Linked DNA regions of Ovis aries. The protein of the gene in region 1 interacts with the protein of each later gene in a biochemical or structural test. Links are inferred from orthologs where the notes say so. Each region holds a gene or a part of one and is shown on either strand. Other genes may lie near its edges.

Region 1 (5,786 bases):
TGGAGTTTTCCGCCTAAACGGCTCCCAGCTGAGCCGCATGACATGTGCAAAAGCCCCCCAGAAAGCTGGGCCTCGCAGTGTGTAAAAAAGGCCCCCCCATGGGGCAGAGCTGTGCAATTATTTAAAAAAAAAAAAAAAAAGAGAGAGAGAAATCAGTCCCCCAGAAAGCCTGGCTGGGGTCTCAGTCGCCCAGGGCCAGGACATGTGCGCAGCTGCCGCTAGGTACACTTTCTCTTCTGACTGTGCTTCGTTTTCCAAGTCGTAACGCTCTGGGGTTGTGGCCACCAGAGGGGCTGGATGCAGTCCTCAGTGGCTAGGAGGCCTGGCTGGCAGTGCGATTTCAGGGTGACCTCTCTCACACATGCAGACACCCCCAAACACGTGCTCCTCCACTGGCCTCAGCCCCACCAGAAAACACAGGGCTTCCCTGGCCCCCCAACCCCCAGTTCACCCTCAGGTCACATTTGAGGCAAGGGACACTGCCCTGAAACAGACAAGGCCCTCCAGCCAGAGGGCCTGGCGGCGAGGGGCCAGTGCCACTCCGTCCACACCCCAGGGCAGGTGTTTGTGGTGTCTGATTCTGCGAGCGTGCATCTGGGTGTGGCCCATTTGTGTGTGTGTCTGTGTGGGTGTGTGTCTGTGTGTCTGTGAGTGTGTTTGGCCAGAGGTGGGGGCCGAGGCTGGGGGAGGCACTTCTGGGATTCAGGGCACATTGACTTTGAAGGGGCTTCCGGGGACACTCTCGTCGCCCCACTTGACGATGAGGATGTAGTCCCCTTTCTCCTTGACGGTGTAGGTGACGTTGTACACCCGGTTCCCCATGTGCTTCACGTACACCTCCTCGCAGGGGGTCTTGGGCCCGTGCACGCCCACCATCATCATATTGGTGCCTGGAGAGAGAGGCGGCGAGGGACAGGCTCACCCCCAGCCCTTGGCCCCATGTTCGCGCACACTTGCCCACCCCGGGAGACCACCCCCTCTCTCCCGCTCCGCCCGCTGCCTGCCTGCTTTGCTGCAGTCCACGGTGAAGGAGTTCTTCTGGCCCACAAAGGCCTGGGACAGCCCGGGGCCCCGCGTCACCACCTTGCTGGCATCTGAGGAGAACTTGGGGATGGAGCTGTAGCTGGAACCCCGGCTTGAGGACGACTTGGTCACAGTCTCCACCAGAACCGTGGATGTTTCATGAAGGCTGTGGCCTCCAGAGAGCCGGGGACCTGAGGGGCAGGGTGGGGTGGCCACGAGCCGGGTCAGAGGCCTGCTCTCCCCGAGGCGGTAGGCCCCGGGTGGCGGTCCTGACAGCCCCGGCCCCCTTCCTCAGCTCCAGCATCCTGGGAGCAGCGGCCCATTTCACACAGAGCTCTTGGGCAGGCTCATCACCAGGTCTGGGGCCTCCATGGCTCTGTCCACCCACCTCCAACCCTCTGGCTTTGTCTGGGACCCCAAGTCACACAGTAAGTAGAGCCCTGCTTTAAAAAGGAACAAGTATCCAACCAATCCTTCACACAGCTTCCAGAAGGAAAATCAGGTAAATGTCTGCTGAGCTCTGTATTCCTGGAAGCCAGAAACGGGGATGCCAGGAGGGCAGAGTTCAGTGAAAACTTGGGGAGCCACCGCAGGGAAAAGATTAGTCAAGGGATGGACAGTAGAGAGGGATTTGATTTTTTTAAAATGATGTACACAAGTCCACACATAGAAGGTGGAGAATGGCACATTGTGTAAAGCCAGCCCCACTTTATTCCTGGTAACCTGAAACACTGATATTTGGGGCCAACTCTGCCCTGGATGTGAATAGCCACTGGAGCCAGCCCAGGATAGGCTTCCAGCCCAGGGTGAGACCTCACCCCACCCAGGACGCTCACCTGTGACTTTCGCCTTGAAGGGGCTGCCCACGATGTGCTGGGGGCCACCATACTTGATGGCAATGAGGTAGTTGCCAGGAGCCATGGGCGTGTAAGTGACCACGTGACCCTCAGGACACTCCCGACAGTCCAGCTGCACCTTGGATGGGCCGTCAATGGTGACAGACAAGGCCCCTGAGCCTGCATTCAGGGTGTTGACGATGAACTCTGACGACACACCTGGGGACCAGAGGTAGCAAGGATGTAGGCAAGAAGGGCTTGGGGCCCAAAGCTGGGATGGGCCCAGGCTCCCCGGAGCAGACCTCTGCCAGGACTTGGGGCTCATCAGCACTGTCCACCCCTCTCCCCAGCCCCAGGCACTCACCTGTAGTGCCTCCCTCGAGCCCAGGACCATAGGCCGACACCAAGCCTGGGTCCCCAGCCTGGCTCTGCTCCCCAACTCGGATCTTGAAGGGACTGCCAGGGATATGGGCACCATTGAACTTGACGTCGATGGAGTGGACGCCATTCTCATGGGGGATGAAACGGATGGTGTGCTTGTCTGTGGGGACAGAGGTTGGTCAGTGAGCCTTAGTCTTTTCCCTCCCCTTTCCAGAAGGTCCTAGCCTGGCAGGGACAGGCCAGCTCACCACTGTCCAGCTCGGAGACGTAGCACTCCTCCACTGCACCTGAGGGCGTGTGTACCCTAGCATCGATCACGCCCCGTGCGCCATTCAGCTGCACCGCAAAGGACGCCGGCTGGTTCACCTTGAGCCCGGTCTCCTGCAGACACCACAGAGGGTGCTCAGACTTCTGGGAGGGCCTGGAGGGCTCATGTCTGCAGCCTAGCACTGATATCCCTTCCTGCCCAGCCTGGAGGCTCCCTCCTCCCACCCCCAGCTGCCCCCTGCTGCCTGGCCCAGCTCAGGGAGGCTCTGAACAAGGCTGCGATGGGAGGCAGAGGCTGGGTCTTTGGCCTTGGCAACCACCTGCTATGGGGTGGGGCCACCTGGCTGTGCCCGGCATGGTTGGGGACCAGAGATGATGTGCCCTGTCCTGGCTGGGGAGGTAAGACCTGGATACTATAAAGCCGGCCTGATAGAGAACCCAGTGCTGGGACAGCATTGTGTGGACTGCGAGAACTCAGTAGCTGGGATGGGAAAGAGACATGTGGGCTGGACTGCCCTGGGGGCACTTGATGGAGAAGGTGGGGCTGATTGGGCGGCTTGAGGGCGGGTAGGTCGTGAAGATGAGGCCAGTTCTAGGATGGGGAAGGGGGAGGAGGGACACAGTGGCACCTGAGGCTTCCAAGACTACCCCAAGGGGCAGCTAGTATAGCTAGAGCCCCCTGTTGTCCAAACACTGGGAGAGAGGGGCCATCTGTCTGGACCTTCCAAGGTCACTGCTAAGTCCCTGGTCACATGGAGCTGCCATCCTCTACTCCTGCCCATCTCTCAGGGTGGCAGGAGGGCCTCATCCCCCCCTCCACCCCGGGCACACACCTGGAGGCTGGTGACAGTGAGACGGCGAGCATCATCTGAGAGGGAGGCCACGGGTACCACGAAAGGGCTGTCTGGGATGTGCTCGTCGTTGAACTTGATGGAGACCTCGTAGTCACCTGGGGAGAGAAGACCAGTCAGCGCAAGCTCCAGGACGGGGGGCAGCAGCAGGGGAAACGACCCCACCCTGATCTCAGGCCCGGACAAGCTCCTAGGTCGAGCTCAGCTCTGGAGACACGTGTTCCTGGGGGTGTAGGGTGGAGGGAAATGGGCAGAGAAACTGCAGTGGCCCAGGTGAGGGGTTGGTTTGGGAGCCCCATCTCCTGCCGGGCTGAGCAGAAGCCTGGTCTGGAAAGTCAGGCAGGCCCAGCAAGATGCCCACCTGGCTCCTGGACGACATAGGAGACCCCACATGAGCCATCCTTGCGATCCTCAAATGCAATTTCCGCCTTGCTGGGACCCTCCACAGCAATTGATAGGCCCCCGGCACCTGCTTCTCGGGTCCAGATGCTGAACTCAGCTGGAGACAGAAATGGGACGGGGCAACTCTTAGCACTGTCGCCCATCCTGCTGGCTGTCCTGCCCCCATCCCTCGTCCCGGGCACCCGCCCCCTTACCTGGCACGCCAGCCACCCCTCGCTCCAGCCCTGTGCCTCCAGCCCGCACCTTGTGGGCACCGCCTTCACCCAGCGGCCCCACGGTGAACTGAAAGGGGCTGCCTGGCACATGCTGGCCGCGGTACTTGACAGTGACTGTGTGGGGCCCCATCTCCTGGGGCACAAAGCGGACGCTGTACGCGCTGTCCTCCCCCTCCACGATCTCGGCGGCTTCTGTCTTGCCCGACGGGCTGGTCACCTGTGCAGTCATGTCCTGAGAGCTGGCCTCACCTGCAGGGGGTGGGGAGTGTCAGGGCGACACCGGGGCTGCCCCAGGCCCTCGCCCTTCCCTCCCTCCCTCCCTCAGTAAACACCCCCTCCTCTGCTCAGACCAGCAGCCTCCCCATGCTGTCCCAAGGGACAGAAGGCCCACCTCCCTGTGAAGAGCCCAGCTGGTGCTGCTCACCCTCCTGCTGCCGGGTGATGCTGCCAAAAGAGCCCAGGCGCTCCCGGCCCAGGAAGTCCCCGAAGACGGCGGGGAAGGGGTCTCCGCCAACCTGGGTGGACTCCTCCACCCGCACCTCGCGCTTGGTCTCCCCGCCCCGCGTCTTGCTGATCTCTGTGCGCTCTGTGCGGGTGTATGTGTGGCTGCTGCGGGTGAAGGTGCGTGTCAGGCGCTCCTGGGCGGACACCATCTGGAACCAGTTCCCTGTGGGACAGGTAGAGCCGGCGGAGGGGAGGGAGGTGAGAAGTTAGCCAGAAGGACAGAGGCCCCGGGGACAGGCTCTGGGCCCTCCCCACAGCCCCACCCCACCAGGCTCTTCCGGTGCCCACCTGGGATCTTGAGGTTGAGGTCACAGGTGCTGCCGATGGTGGCGATGGACGGCGCCTGCCTGCGCCGGGTGATGCTTTCCTTCATGCGGCCCTCACCAGTGACCTTCACTGTGAAGGGGCTTCCTGTAGGGACAAGAAAGAGCGGGTCAGCCACCTCAGGTCACTCATCTCCGGCCTCCTGGCCTGTCCCGGCCACAGCCCAGAGCCTTACCAGGCACGTGCTTGTCGGCGAACTTGATGTTGATGATATAGGTGCCAGGTTCGGTGGGGCAGTAGGTAACTTTGCACGTGCCATCCTCCATGTCCTCACAGTTGATGTCCACCTTGCTAGGGCCTTCAATACTCAGCCCCAGGCCCCCATAACCTAGTGGGAGGCAAGGGACACGTCTCCCTCAGTCCCCACTGCCATCTGCTCTCCCCTCCCCAAACCGCAGGCTCTGCCCAGAACAGACACCCAAGGGGCACCGTAACCACTAAGGAAAGATAGCTCAGTAGAAGAAGGAGGGGTGAGCCAGGCAGTGACCCAAAGGGTCAGGGATAGGTAGTCTGGAAATTTCTCTAAGGCAGGCCTCTTGGGTTTTGGTGAGCGAAGGAGAGACAAACTCAGGATGGCTGAGCTTTCTCTTAGACACAGAAGTGACAGGGGGACATTTATTCTTCCCAGGTGGGCCCCAGAATGGGAATCTCAGCAGAGACTGGGCCAGGAAGTTCCGGAGGGGAGGTTATGGTCCGGGGCGCTGGGAAGGAAAGGACTGGTCCCAACTTGAGGCACCAGCTGCAGTGAGGGGTCTCCGGGGCGAGAAGCACCTGCATTCCGAGTGTCCACGATGAACTCCGCCACCTGGAACGTGTGTCCTTCGGACAGGCCCTTGCCCCAGACCCGCACCTTGCTAGCATCCCCAATCTCAGACGGTCCCACCAGGATCTTGAAGGGGCTGTTGGTGACATGCTTGCCGCTCTTGCGCACGCTTACCACATGCTCCCCAACTTCTTTGGGGGTGAAGGAGATCCCTGTTGCG
Region 2 (7,366 bases), on another chromosome or scaffold:
GCTGGAAGTCCTGCTCATCCACTAAGATCTCCCGGATGGCATCCAGGGGCTGTGTCTCAAAGATCCAGCGAGTCGCGCTGACATCGGGCCGGGCCGCCTCCTCCAGGGAGATCCCGCGGATCACCCGCACCTGGCTGGGGTCCCGGTTGATGGCATCCAGAGGCTTGGTCTCGAAGAGCCAACGGCCAGACCTCACTGCATTGCTTTGGATCTCCTCCCGGTAGGCGGCCTTGACCTCGTGGATGGCGCCCTCTGAGTCCTGGATGGCACACAGCGGCTCTGTTTGGAACAGCTTCACCGTCTTCTTCACATCGCCTTTCAGCTCCTGGATCTCTGAGCGCAGCTCCAAGGGGCTCTGCTCCTGGGTGGAGGGGCGGGAGCCAAGGCGGTCCAGTGGCCGTGTCTCAAATAGCATCCTGGTACCCTGGACGTCTCCGCTGGCTGCAGGCTCCCTCACTGTAGCCTCTGGTGCTTCAGCACGAACCGTCAGCGCATCCAGCGGCTTCGTCTCAAACAGCTGGCGGGCTGCACGCACGTCCCCTCCGGATGGCCGAGGTCCGGCCGGCTCCTGGTTTACGCTGTTAGTAAAGGAGCCTTCCTCAAACTTGCGGGAGGTGGCCTGGACGTTGCCACCGGGCACGGACTCCTTGGCAGGTGGCTTCTCATGGTCCCCAATGGCATCCAGCCGCCAGTTCTCAAAGATCCAGCGCATGCACTGGACATCGCCCTCGGTGGGCTCCTCGGAACCCAGGACCTCAGCCAAGTCTTCGGCCACGGCCTCAGCCAGATTCTTGCGGAGCTCGGGGTGGATGTGCTTGTAGAGGCGGCGGAGCTCGCTGGCTTGCCGCTGCTGGTGGAACTTGGAGAAGGACTCCTTGGGTGGCGGCGGCGGTAGGTCCTCCAGGGCAGGTGGTGGAGGGGGGGGCAGGTCCTCTGTAGCTGCCATCGGGATGGTTGGGGTGGGGGCCACCTGCATCTGGGCACTGGCCATCCTTCTGAAGAGAGGGGGCAGAGATGAGGATGGGGTTGGGGGATTTCAGTGAGATGGGGGTTGGTTGCAGAGTAGCCCTAGGTGGCGTGTGCTTAGAGACCACCCCTCCCCCTTTCCAGACCTCCCCGGGGTCTCACCCTGCTACCTGAATGGTTGCTGTGTGACTAGTCTTGAACTTAAGGCATATAGAGCCATCCATCAGGTGGGTCCCTGCTCCCCCAGAATCACCTGGGTTGTCACGGCGCCAGCAGGGCACTACAGGCTTTGAAACTCTGTCTTCCAGTTAACGGGTGCCCAACCCCACAGTGGGAAAACTGTTCCTGTCCTGTCCCATCCTTGCTTGCTTTTGCCAAAATCAGTTTTTCCCTGGTAGACTCCCAGGTGAGTGGCCTGGGGGAATTCTGATTTTTAAGGGATCCCAGCCAGGGAGAAGCAGGTCCCTACACTGGTGACTGGGCTTCCCTGGTGGCTCAGACGGTAAAGAATCTACTTGCAATGAGGGAGGTCTAGGTTTGATCCCTGGGGTGGGAAGATCCCCTGGAGGAGGGCTTGGTCTCCAGTATTCTTGCCTGGAGAATCCCATGGACAGCGGAGCCTGGCGGGCTGCAGTCCATGGAGTCACAAAGGTTTGGACAGGGACATGACTAAGTGAGCACACAAACTGGTGACTCTCATGGAGAGAACTAGTTATCAGTCACGTTTCCTTTCTCACCACCAGAGGGCGCACTTGTCCCTTTCACTGGGGGGCTGTCCCGCCTTTAGCTCTTGGCTCTCCTTTCTCAGGCCAGGGAGGCCAAGCAGGGGCCGGCAGCTCTTGCTGCAGCAGAAGCAGTAAGGCTGAGTGAGTGTCCACCAGTTGTCTCGCAGTTAGGCAGAACCCAATTCTGAATCCTAGCTAGGGGTTTTCTGAGCTAGGGGGACCTCTAGAAGCTTCTGGCCCAACCACTCTTGATTAAAGATGAGGAAACCAGGGTCCAGAGTCAGATCTTGGTGAATGAGGCGCAAGCAGTGCTGGATCGGGGTTTCGAAACACTTTAGGTAGGAAGTGTGACGCTTTCTCAGTGGCTGTGGTGGCCCTCTGTTCCCAGCAGACACCCCAGGAGGGGAGGCAGTGAGACTTGAGGGCCTTCCTGCAGCGATAGCCTCACCCCTTGCTCACGGACCCCCGTCCCCAACTGTGTGCAGCACGAGTCTCCTGTGCACGCCTTCTTTCTCCCTCTTCGTGCCCATCAGCTTCCGCCAAGGCACTGCCCCCACGCCCCTGGCCCACCTTCTCTGGCCTCTGTCCTCGCTGTCTTATCTGTCTTGTGACAGGTGTGCTAACAGTCCCCAGAGGCCAGTAGGGAAAGAATGAGAAGCACGTCCCCCCCTCACTGCCCCTGACCCACAGCTCTGCTCCACGCTCAGTGCTAAATATAGCCGAGGTGCTGGCCTCCACACAGCGGCCCTGGGCTGGGGAGAGGTCCGGCTCAGCCAGTGGGACCCTGGGAGCCTGACCCCCCTTGGTTCCTTCTCTGCCCTGGGCTCCCTGATCCTGCCTGCTGAGCTGGTGTTTGGCCTCTGGCTGCAGGATGACCAGTGCTTCTGGCCACAGGAACCTGGGGGTGGGGGAGGGACTTCCTTCTCTCGACTACCTCAGCAGGGGGAGACTAAGCCCTGCTTGCTCCACCCACACCCCAGCCTGTCCTCTGAAGACATCCAAGGAGTATGACCTCTAAAGTCGACAGTCCAAGTCTCATCACGCACTCTAGGTGCTTCCTTTAGCCTGGGTTCTCATGAGGACCCCCCGACCAAAGGCAAACCTTGATGGTCCCCACGTCCTCCCTGCCGTCACCAGTGTGGCCTGAGCAGATGGCAGGTACGGGCCACCAGCTCCACCCTGCCTCCACCGCCTCCCCCAGGAATCTCCAGAATCCCTGCTGTGGTCACTTATGATCGAATCAGAGTCCAGAGAGGGCAGAGCTGAGGACCTGCCGAGGTCACTGGGCCCAATCCCCTCATTGTTTGGAAGGGGAAACCGGCCCCAAGAGGGGAAGGAGCTGACCCCGGCAGCTCCACCAGGCGGTAGCAAGGCCTCCCCACCTCGTTTCTCAAGGATGGGGACCAGGTGCGGTGAAGGCCGAATCCAGAACTGATACCAGGCTTTGGGTAAGGCCTGAACCCCAGGGGTGCCCCTGAGCTTGGCCTCCCAGGCCTGGGCCAGCCTCTCCGGGTGACCCCCGCTTTTGCCTCCAAGTCTGCTCTTTCCTGGCCCAGACCCCTTCACGCATCTCTATACTTGGGCAGTATACTCTAGCGCTCAGACCTGGCCACCCACCTTTACCCCCAGGTCTTCCTTAAGGCTGTCCTACTGGGCACGCTGATGGCCCACATCACACCCAGGCCCTAGGCCATGCGGGGTGCTGGGCTCAGGCCAGCCCTGGGGAGACATTCCCGAGCCAGCTATGTCAAGACTTCTACCCACAGCAGCTGGGCACAGGGCTTGTCCTGGCAGCACAGTCAGACCCCCGTGTCCTCCCCCGCCTCTTCTGTCCAGACACTGGGCCTAGCTGGGGCTCCTTGGAAAGAAAGCCTGAAGCCTGAGGAGCTCCGTACCTGATTTTAAAAATCACAACCCCAGACCACCTCCTCCAGCAAGCCTTTCTGGATTACGCCAGACTGGCTGGAACCTGCCCCTCTGTAGGCCTCAGGCCTGTGCCAGCCAGGCCGAACGCTACCATGGGGCTCACAATAATTGTCTGGCAACTTCCTTGTGGAATCTTCATATCAGACCCCTCCACTCACCTGCTCCAGACGTGTGGCCCCACCTTCCTCCCCTCACTCAGAACTTTCACTAATACGCACTGCCCTGAGAGGGGCCGGAGGGGGTCCCGGCCTGGAAAGCCAGCCCCGCTGGTGTGGCGAGGAAAGGAACGGCTCACTCACCTGCGGGCTCTGCCTGGCTGCTGGGGTTTGGGGTCTTCGGCAGGTGTGGCCCACGGCTCTGTCGTGCCTCTGGTTTGGGCTGCTCTCGCTCTGCTGGCCCCGTCGGACACCTTCTCGCTGCCCTGGCTCGGGGTCTGTGTCCCCTGCCAGGCTCAGCAGCTGCCTTTATCTGGCTGGTTAGGGGGTGGGCCGAGGTGGGGGGGTGGGGGGAGGCGAAGGTCAGAGTATGAAGTGGTTCAGTTATTTTTAGGGCTCTGGAAGTTATTCTCCATCTCGGGCATCAGTTACATGTCCTTTCTGCTAGGGAGGGGAAGAGGAGTGAGCGGGGGAGAGCTTCATTCATCCAAGTCTCCTCTGAGGATTGGGGTCAGTGACTCAGCTGTGGTGTGGGGTGCGGACATCCCAGACTATTCTGAGGGAATGAATAAGGAGGCGCATCTGACACCTGGTCAGCTTGGCCCCCCACCTTGTGATCCCCCACGTCCCTACCCCAGCCTCTGACTATGTCTGACGTGTGGCGTGACTATGTCCCACCCTGCCAGGAGACTGGAGGCCCCCTGAGGGCAGGCCTAGGCCCTTGCTCCTCAGTTCTCAGCCCGGATACCCCTGAGAGTAAGGCCCTTCTTCTCCCCACTCCTGCACTAGACCTTTCCGCTGTCTCTTCCATCCCTCCCTGCGTCCCACCGCACAGGTGTATACAGCCCTGAGTGCACACAGCTGAATTTGGGGGAAAGACCTCTGGCCCCAGTTCTCCACGGGGTCCAGGTCTGGCAGAGGGCTCCGCAGCATGGTCTGCGGTGTTCCCAGCAGATTATCTGGGTTGTTGTTTACTCTCAGGCTCTGGCCTCTGACTCAGGGCCCAGGCTTTCTGGGAACAGAGAGGAGGGGAGGGGCAGCACACGGGGAGCTGACTCTGGGGTTATTTCTGACCCGGAGTCATCAGCTTCCAGTCACAGAAGGAGTATGTGTGTGTGTTTGTGTGTGGGGGTCACGGCTGCCCCTCCTTGGCTACCCAGAGCCCGAGGGGCTTAGTAGCTCCAGAGATCCTGGCATTTAGGCCGGGAAGGGCAGTGTGGCGAGGGGCATCGGGAGACCATGCAGAGCACAAGCGACGGAGGCATTTTGCCTGGTTCCATGTCGAAGTTGTGTTCTGCTACCTGGCAGAACAAGGTCTTCTGACATCCTGGGGGCCCTCTGGTGCCAGGAAGTGATGCCAGGCACTGCTCACTCTTTCCGTTGAGTCAGTGTCAGGCAGGCAGCATTGGCCTGGGGTGAGAAGAGGGGCAACGGGGAGCCCTCCTCCCTGGCCTCCTCTGATTCCGGCCTTTTTGCCCTTTGCTGCCCTAGCACCTATTTCCCGGATCCTGTCTCTCCCTGGGAAGGGCAGGAAGATACCCATCCTCTCGGGCCAAGGGAAGAGGAGCCTTAGTGCCTGCCCTCTGGGGTGGTTTTGAGACTTGAATGAATTCACATATTAGAGGGTTTTGTGAGAGTGCTCAGCACATGGCCTGGGTTATCCAAGGGCCTGATGCACAGGTTATTACATACGTAAGAAAAGGAACGTACCTGGTTGGAATCCTCTTTTGTACTCACTGCAAATATGATAAACTCATGGTAGAAATTTCCCATGCCTGGTTTGTTTTTATCTAATACAATTGTACTGTCCAAGACAACTTCCACTAACCCCATGAGACTATTTAAACAGGTTAAAATGAAACAAAATGAAAAATTGTGTTCCTGCATCCCTTTAGCCACATTTTAAGTGCTCCATGGAGCAGAGTACAAAATGTTTCCATCACTGTGGAAGTGTGATAGCACTATCACAGACACTGAAACTCTCATTGAGGGTGGTGTTTCCTTCTTTGCCTTGGCTCCAAGGACACTCTGAGCTAAATGTTTAGACTTTCAGCAGGTAGACGCTGTGGGTTGTATCCTGTGTCATGGGGGTAAACAACTGGCCCTGTTGCCTGTCTCTGAGGGGTTTCGCAGAACAAGGGACTTTCAATTTTAAAACTGGGAAAGTTCAAAGAAAAACAGGCTGAGCTGGTCACCCTATGTGTAATGATCTAACAAAATCACATCATCAAGGTGTCAGTGATATGGCCATTAAGGCAGTGGTCAGGCATTATTCATCAGAGTATCTTTGGTGGTGGGGATGCTGGGCAGTTATCTTTTTAAAAGCCACCTCAAATCATTTTGGGAAGGGGGCTGGGAGTAAATGGTTATCCTGAGGTCAAATGGCTGTGCTGGTTAATTGATCTCTCAGAAGGCAGAAGGGCAGGGAGGGAATGGAGAGGGAAGGCGGAGAGGGATTTTTCAGTGATTACAACCTGCCCCCCACCCCCACTGCTTCTGGAGCTTAGTGTTTCCTGGTCTTGAGGGCACATTCCTCTGTCAGTCCATCCCTCTTCAGTGGGGCTCTGCTGAAGTTGGGGATTAGTCAGAAGCCCCTGCCTGTCTCCCAGGAAAACAGGTACTCTGGCAGGGCTCAGTGAGCAGCTGGCAGTAGACTCACCTGATGTTTCAGGAGAGGCAGGAACCAGGGAAGGTTCAGAGCCAGGCTGCCTACCTGAGTTTGAATGAGGCAGGACGCAGGGAAGGTTCAGAGCCAGGCTGCCTACCTGAGTTTGAATCCTGTCTGTGACACTTACTAGCTGTGTGACGTTGGCAAGTTACTCACCCTGTCTGTTCGCCAGTTCCCTCACCTATAAAATGGGCATAATAACAGTGTATACCTCAAAAGGCTGCTGTGAGGAGCACACATCTGTTACACACACACACCACATCGGGTACAGTGCCCAGCATATGTAAACTCAACTGATGATTAAGCTCAATACATTCTCCCCTGGGTCCCCACCACCGGCAACTTTCCCTGGTCCCAGATCCCAGTGTATCCTCTGGGTCTGATGGCAAGTGTCCTTCAAAGCCCTGGCTGGTAGTCCTGGCCTCCCTCCAGCTGGGAAGCAGACACGGGTGTCTGCTCTGGGCTGGCCAGGGCGTGTCTGTTCCAGGGCTGTAGGACAGGTCAGCTCAGCCTCTTGACAAAATCCTCTGAACCTGCAGAAGGGACTTTCTGCGCTGCTCAGGGGGCAGCTCAAAGGTGGGCAGATTTGAGGGGAGAGTGTCCGCCTCCTGCCGTGGGAGTCTGGTGGCCGTGCCGTGAGGGTCGTGTGGGCCCTGGTGCCAGACCACTCTCACCAGCCTGTCTTCCTATTTCTATGACCTCTGAGAGTCTGCCTGCTTTCTATATTCTAGTGTGTTAGTTTGGGATCTTCCAAGAGCAGAGTCCAAGAAGAGCATTTGGGTGCAAGTGGTTTCACTGGGAGGGGAGGAAGGGGGTGAGGGGCTAAAAGTGAGGAGGAGAAGGAAAGCAGATTACTTCTGTGGACCGCTGGGGCTGGATCCCTCTGGAGACTTCGGGAGCTGGTGTGGAACACGCCTCACCCGGGG

Evidence for each region.
Region 2: the proteins of FLNC (region 1) and XIRP1 form a complex in vitro, tested with the Homo sapiens proteins (2 studies listed by BioGRID and IntAct, with this or other methods). The link is inferred for Ovis aries from reciprocal best matches to the Homo sapiens genes FLNC and XIRP1.

What each region holds. Positions count from the first base shown.
Region 1 is NC_056057.1:94,518,063-94,523,848, reverse strand, and holds part of FLNC (filamin-C), read right to left. Parts: intron 5,779-5,786; coding exon 5,575-5,778; intron 5,132-5,574; coding exon 4,979-5,131; intron 4,891-4,978; coding exon 4,768-4,890; intron 4,643-4,767; coding exon 4,400-4,642; intron 4,225-4,399; coding exon 3,955-4,224; intron 3,858-3,954; coding exon 3,720-3,857; intron 3,457-3,719; coding exon 3,341-3,456; intron 2,622-3,340; coding exon 2,489-2,621; intron 2,401-2,488; coding exon 2,224-2,400; intron 2,079-2,223; coding exon 1,860-2,078; intron 1,215-1,859; coding exon 1,005-1,214; intron 891-1,004; coding exon 703-890; 3' UTR 1-702.
Region 2 is NC_056072.1:12,509,991-12,517,356, forward strand, and holds the start of XIRP1 (xin actin-binding repeat-containing protein 1), read right to left. Parts: upstream 4,057-7,366; 5' UTR 3,917-4,056; intron 996-3,916; 5' UTR 992-995; coding exon 1-991. UniProt on the Homo sapiens protein: Protects actin filaments from depolymerization. Required for correct cardiac intercalated disk ultrastructure via maintenance of cell-cell adhesion stability, and as a result maintains cardiac organ morphology, conductance and heart beat rhythm.